Linked DNA regions of Canis lupus familiaris. The protein of the gene in region 1 binds, or shares a complex with, the protein of each later gene. Links are inferred from orthologs where the notes say so. Each region holds a gene or a part of one and is shown on either strand. Other genes may lie near its edges. The genes, in order: TBC1D20 and RAB1B.

Evidence for each region.
Region 2: the proteins of TBC1D20 (region 1) and RAB1B are in contact, whole or in part, in a crystal structure (PDB 4HLQ), measured with the Homo sapiens proteins. The link is inferred for Canis lupus familiaris from reciprocal best matches to the Homo sapiens genes TBC1D20 and RAB1B. Residues at the interface, in NP_653229.1 of Homo sapiens: Gln97, Gln98, Leu101, Asp102, Arg104, Arg105, Leu107, Arg108, His141, Tyr142, Tyr143, Gln144, Gly145, His147, Asp148, Phe177, Met178, Asp179, Pro180, Thr181, Met182, Lys186, Val212, Ile215, Leu218, Ser219, Thr223, His227, Met272, Ala273; in NP_112243.1 of Homo sapiens: Ser17, Gly18, Ser36, Tyr37, Ile38, Ser39, Thr40, Ile41, Gly42, Val43, Asp44, Phe45, Gln60, Trp62, Ala65, Gly66, Gln67, Arg69, Phe70, Thr72, Ile73, Tyr77, Glu94.

The regions. Positions count from the first base shown.
Region 1 is NC_049245.1:20,918,963-20,922,777, forward strand, and holds part of TBC1D20 (TBC1 domain family member 20), read left to right. Parts: intron 1-439; coding exon 440-626; intron 627-824; coding exon 825-926; intron 927-2,062; coding exon 2,063-2,204; intron 2,205-3,006; coding exon 3,007-3,194; intron 3,195-3,464; coding exon 3,465-3,720; 3' UTR 3,721-3,815. UniProt on the Homo sapiens protein: GTPase-activating protein (GAP) specific for Rab1 and Rab2 small GTPase families for which it can accelerate the intrinsic GTP hydrolysis rate by more than five orders of magnitude. Also shows GAP activity for RAB18 GTPase.
Region 2 is NC_049239.1:51,529,209-51,531,765, forward strand, and holds the end of RAB1B (ras-related protein Rab-1B), read right to left. Parts: intron 2,193-2,557; coding exon 2,061-2,192; intron 1,960-2,060; coding exon 1,765-1,959; 3' UTR 520-1,764; downstream 1-519. UniProt on the Homo sapiens protein: The small GTPases Rab are key regulators of intracellular membrane trafficking, from the formation of transport vesicles to their fusion with membranes.

The DNA.
Region 1 (3,815 bases):
CTTAGCCTCCTTGACCCTGGAGTAGTTCCTTTGTATTTTATGACTCAGCTATTTTTATAAAATCTCCCTCAGTTTGGGTTGTCTAGTGTTTAGACTAAGGTGGATGTGCTCCTATAGGCATTCCACAGAAGCAATCCTGAGTTCTTTCCCAGGTGCCACAGCAGGACGCTCATGCCATTGGGTAGTCATGGCCCTGGCAGGGTCAGCTGTGACGGCCTGGTTAAGATGGCATCTGCAGTCTTCCCCACTATAAGGTTGCTATTCCGTGGCTCTTTCCTATGTGCCAAATAGTATCGACGGTATGTGGATTTTAATATGCGTTGCCAAATTGCTCATAATTCATTTTTTATTAAACATTTGGCAAGTCCTTTGCTGTCTTCCTCTCCTCATTACCAGGCTGCTCAGTGTATTCCGGTGCATCCCCTTTTTCCCTCCCCAGGCATGCCAGAGAAGCAGAGAGAGGGCCTCCAGGAAGAGCTGATCGACATCATCCTCCTCATCTTGGAGCGCAACCCTCAGCTGCACTACTACCAGGGGTACCATGACATTGTGGTCACATTTCTGCTGGTGGTAGGCGAGAGGCTGACAACATCCTTGGTAGAAAAATTGTCTACCCACCACCTCAGGTACCAGTGCAGAGGAATATAAGAGGATGGGTATCATTCCTCAAGCCCCCCTGGGGTTAACTCCTTGGCCCATTTTCTAGTCAGTGTTTCCAGTGGTTTGAACCCCACTGGCCCTTGTGTGGTTTGAGTGGTTAAAACCCCTTCGGCCCTCATCTGAGTGTTTAGTCTGACCAAGCTTATTGAATTATCTCCATCCAGGGATTTCATGGATCCAACAATGGACAACACCAAGCATATATTAAACTATCTGATGCCCATCATTGACCAGGTGAATCCAGAGCTCCATGACTTCATGCAGAGGTATATATGCATCTCCACTTATATACACACATGTGCACGCGAATAGACCCCCCTTTGTCTTTCTCCTGGCCCTCGTCTCTTCCTCACAAGTCCAGCTCAATCTCACCACCATCATATGTTGATTAGCGTTGAGTTCTTCCAGGTTGTCCTTTCTGTTTGCCAGCAATCTGGATAATTTAGTTCTGTACAGTCTGGGAGCACTTTTTAGATACTGTGCTCTTGTGGGGATACAAGATGTGTCACCGTGCATGCCTTGAGGTTACATCTGGTGGGGAGTGGTGGGGGAGGTGAGTATGCTGAGGTGGACTTTGAGGTTATTGCTACAAAAAAAGTATATATACACACTACTGTAGGGTCTCAAGTTGAGAAGGACAAGGCCATCCATGGGTTTTATTCACCAGGTTCCAAGGAGAAGAAACATTGCTTTACAAATCTCATGATTTTTTTTTCTCTTCCCTGTAATTGGAAATGTGTCCTTGGCCAATGCCTCACTCTTTTTTCTTTTCTTTTAATAATGGCTATGTCTTAAGATGTTTCGATCATCTCATGTTAACTGAACAATTAATACAGTTGTGTGTTTAAGCCTAAGAATATGTGCCTGTGTCCACCAAAAATGTATAGGACTTTCTCAGAAAGAAAATGATAGTATAGGGCAGCCCCGGTGGCGCAGTGGTTTAGCGCCGCCTGCAGCCCAGGGCGTGATCCTGGAGACCCTGGATTGAGTCCCATGTCAGGCTCCCGGCATGGAGCCTGCTTCTCCCTCTGCCTGTGTCTCTGCCTCTCTATGAATAAATAAATAAATAATCTTAAAAAAAAGAAAAAGAAAATGATAGTATAGTTCTGTGAACAGAGCTACTTCTTCCTCCTGTAATTGATACTGGTTAACCATTAGGAAAGCAGCCAGCGAAATAAGGCAACCAGGACCCCATCGTAGTATTAGTGTCACGATGGTGGGTATGTTTTAAGGACTTTGTATTCTGTGAGAAGATGCTGAATTCCTAGGTGGCTGAATTTTCCAGAGAATGTATTTCCCAGATTCTTCCTTCTCATAAGCACTGAGGACAAGGATGCCCCAGAGAGCGGGAGGCGACAGCCCATCAGGGAAAAACCTAACATGTGGATTTCTTTGCTCCTAGCGCTGAGGTGGGAACCATCTTTGCCCTCAGCTGGCTCATCACCTGGTTTGGGCACGTCCTGTCTGACTTCAGGCACGTTGTGCGGTTATATGATTTCTTCCTGGCCTGCCACCCGCTGATGCCCATTTACTTTGCAGCTGTGGTAGGTATAGGCCTCGAGGCAATAATTAAGTTCACCATCACCCACTCCATCGTTATCATTTTCCCTCCAGGGAAACCTGGTGATTATGGAAAGATGAGAAAAAGCATTTCCCAAACTGATGTCCCTGGACACCGTTCTGTATAGTGTTAATGGGAGTGTCATAGGGAAAGAAAAGTTCTGTGTAAAAAATAGGTTTGGGAAATGCTTGGTTAAACCAAGTTATAAAGAGATCTGTTTACTGCACGAGTCTTCTGAACCTTTAAAATGCTCGTATGTGTTATGAATTGTCTGTGTTCCTATTGACATGTTTTGGAACTAGTACAGACTGCCATCTCCAGGCTGGAGAGGGAAGAAGTGTGGTATTTCAGGGGAATACTAACGGGGTTTGGTGGGGCTCCATATCTTAGGAGGGCCTGAATTGTGGAGGTCAGGGTGGAGATGGGAGCACAAGGACACCCTTCACTGCTCTTGAAAGGGGAGCAAGACTGTTCTTCGACTGCTTTGAACCATTTCTTCTGTATTGGAGCTCCAAGAGTCTGTCCTCGATCCCTTTCCTTTTCTTCCTCCTAAAAGAACCTCCTTCATTTCGTTGATTGGCCTTCCACATCCTGGGGTGGAAGTTTGCCTGTAGCAGGAAGGGCCAGCCCCCTGGGAAAAGCACTCATGTACATTATCCCTTCCCGGATGGATACAAGAGTTTGCTGTCTGCTACCAATTTAAATTCATCTCTAAGGAGAATGACATGCAAGCGGTGAAGGCCGTGTGTGTCCTGGTCTCTGATACAAGGCCTTGCTCTCCACAGATCGTGTTGTATCGAGAGCAGGAAGTCCTGGATTGTGACTGTGACATGGCCTCGGTCCACCACCTCTTGTCCCAGATCCCTCAGGACCTGCCCTATGAGACACTGATCAGTAGAGCCGGAGACCTGTTTGTTCAGTTTCCCCCATCAGAACTTGCCCGGAAGGCAGCTGCCCAACAGCAGGCTGAGAAGTGAGTGAGGCCAAGGCTCTGGTTGAACTGGGTGTCTGTAAGTGAGCAGAAATGGTGGAAGATTGTGTCTGCTGGGGACAGGGCTGGGGGATGTTTGCAGAGATCTGAGCTCAGGCCAGCAGACTCCCTCCTTCAGCTTTCCTGGGTCTTGATCAAGAAGAGCCTTCTGAGCAGTGGATGGCTCTGCCCTCAGCTTCTGTAATAATCCAGTTTTAATTTCCTTCTCTTCTTTCATATTGTTTCCTTCTTCTGTCTCCTTACCTGCTGCAGGACGGCCGCCTCTACCTTCAAAGACTTTGAGCTGGCATCAGCCCAGCAGAGGCCTGACATGGTGCTGCGACAGCGGTTTCGGGGGCTCATGCGCTCTGAGGAGCGAACGAAAGATGTCCTGACCAAACCAAGGACCAACCGCTTTGTGAAACTGGCGGTGATGGGGCTGACAGTGGCACTTGGAGCGGCCGCCCTGGCTGTGGTGAAAAGTGCCCTGGAGTGGGCTCCTAAGTTTCAACTGCAGCTCTTCCCCTAAATGCCGGAGAGGAAGCTTCCTCTTCCAGTACATTGAGGTCTCACCCTTCCATGGAAGGATTGGGAGGGGGTGGAATTTCCTTTATTAAAAGGGTT
Region 2 (2,557 bases), on another chromosome or scaffold:
CGTCACACGAGTTCGGTCCACTCGGAAGAGCACACACACCCCCCTACCCTAACATACTGTATTGTGCACACCGACCTGGGAGGCCAGGCTGAGGTCCTAAGTGGGAGGAACTTGGCACTGTCCAAGGGGGCAGAGACTCTTGGCTTGAACCCAGGGCAAAGCTGGGAGAGGGCTGAAGGGAATGAGGGCCTGGTCTGATGGTGCATGTCTGCAGCCCAAGCCCACAGTCTGGACAGATGTGGGCCCGTGTGGGTGTTGACAGAGCCTCACCAGGTACCGGCAGCTGATGGCCACCGCCTCCCTTTCTGCCAAAACCGTGCTGGGCCCGTGGGGACACACCACAGAAGCAAAAGAAGGCAGCACTCTTGGCTTTAGGAAGTGGGTCAAGGACTTTCAACAGCAACCCTAGGACACACAGTCCAAGCCAGGACCCCTGTACAGCCACCAATCCCAGGGCCCCAGTTCCATTCCCCCAACCCAAGGCAGCTCCCACCACAGACCACACTCAACCACCACAACTTCCTTGCAAAAACCCTCGGCTCACCCGAGGGCCAGTGGAAATTTATTTTTTGTCCTTTGTCTTTCCCCAAGTGGCTTTTCCTTGCAAAATGCCTGACATGACACCAGAGGGGAACCTGGGAGTGAGGGGCACCCCAGGGACTTAAATACAAGCTGGAGGGCAGGGCACAGGTGGGACAGGCGAGAGACAGCACAAGGGACATGGCTTCTCAGGTAGAGACCAAAGGTTTGTTTTTCTGCAGGAAGAAGCTATGCCAGAGGGCATGGGGCTAGGATCCTGGGTGGGAGGGGGTGAGGGGAGAGGCCCCCAACCCTGGATTTGCACCCACATTCCCCAGAAGAGAAGTAGTGACAGGGCATGAGGACCTGCCCTCATAGGCTCCAAACAGAAGGAAGAGAATAAGCCAGATGTGCTGACTCAGGGAAAGGGAAGAGGTGCTGGCAGAGTGAGGGTTAAGGCTGATGCCCGGCCTCTGGCACAGTGGGCCTTCCGCCTCTGCCTGCCTTGGGGACAAAGGGGCACGGTGGGCAGGCAGCACATGGGCCTGGCTCTGGCAGGGCAGGGGGTGGCAGGAGCAGGCTCCCTCTGGGCTCAAGACACAGGCCCAGCATGGCTGCCCGCCCACCTGCTCTAGATGTGCTCAGACCCCACCGCAGCTGGACGGCTGGAGCTGTGAGTATGGAAGGAGCAGGGAGGAGAGGCAGGGAGGAGAGGAAAGGGTGGGCTGCTGGGCCCCTGTGGCCCCCATGCCCTTCCTGAGGTCCAGCCCAGGGCCCTGGATCCTGGGTCCTGGATCCCCTGGTCCCATTCCTGGCCCCCGATGCTGACTGCAGCCAGGGACTATAGAGGCCAGGGAGGCTCCCAGCTCTTGGGGAAGGGGTGGGGTGGAGAAGGAAAAGGATGAGAGAAACCCACTGCAGCATACATGGGGGGCAAGGGAGGGAAAGAGGAGCCCTCATCCCAAAGAAAGGTGTGTGGTGGGGTATCTTTTAAAGTTACCTAGAGGCAGCAGCAGAGCAAGCCCACCTCCCCACCCCAGCCAAAGGTCCTGGGTGTCCTCCCTTGGGGACCTTGACAAAACCAGGGCTCAGGGCAGCAGGCAGATGGGCCAGAGGGAGATGGGGAGCCCAGGACACCCCAAAGCCACAGACTCAAATGCCCCAGGAGAGGGAGGCACCTCCTGTCCCCTCCAGGAGCATCATCTGGAGAAGGTGCCCCCTCCTGTCCCACCCCAGGTGCCCCTCCTAGCAACAGCCGCCACCAGCCGGCTTCACAGGGGTGCTGTCGATCTTGAGGTTGGGCCGCTCACCCCCTGAGGCTGCCCCAGGCCCCATCCGCTTCTTGATCTCAGCAGCCATGGTCATGAATGCCTGCTCAACATTGGTAGCATTCTTGGCACTTGTCTCCAGGAAGGGGATGCCCAGAGAATCTGCGAACTCCTGATGAGGGAAAAAGAGAAAAGAGGGAAATGTGGGAAAGGAGGGGTGAGGGGCAGCAGACCCCAGCCTGCCCTGGGGGGCCTGACACAGGCCCCACTCACCTTGGCTGTGGTGTTGTCCACTACCTTCTTGGTGGTGAGGTCGCTCTTATTGCCTACCAGGAGTTTATTGACGTTCTCACTGGCATAGCGGTCAATCTCCTGTAGCCACTGCTTCACGTTGGCATAGGATTCCTAGAGAAGCCAGAATCACAAATTATTTTGCTCCCAACTCCCACCCCTATTCAAGGCCAGGAGAACAAGGGGTTTTGAAGGGGGTTTGCCTGGGTTCCCGAGAGAGACAGGAGCCCTGAGCTCAGGGACCCAGAGGAAGATCTCTCTCTCCTCCAGGCTTAGATCTCCTCTCTGGCCCACTCCATCTGAGACCCCCAAAGCCAAACCTGGCATGGCACCAGCTGTCTGCCAACAGCCCCAACAGCTAAACAGCCTAGGCCTAAGGGCCAGCCAACTCTGCTTCCTGCAGCTAGTCTCCCCCTGAGACACAGAAAAGGCTGAAAACACGTGGGGAGCAAATGACAACAGGATGGAGGCCAGAGAGA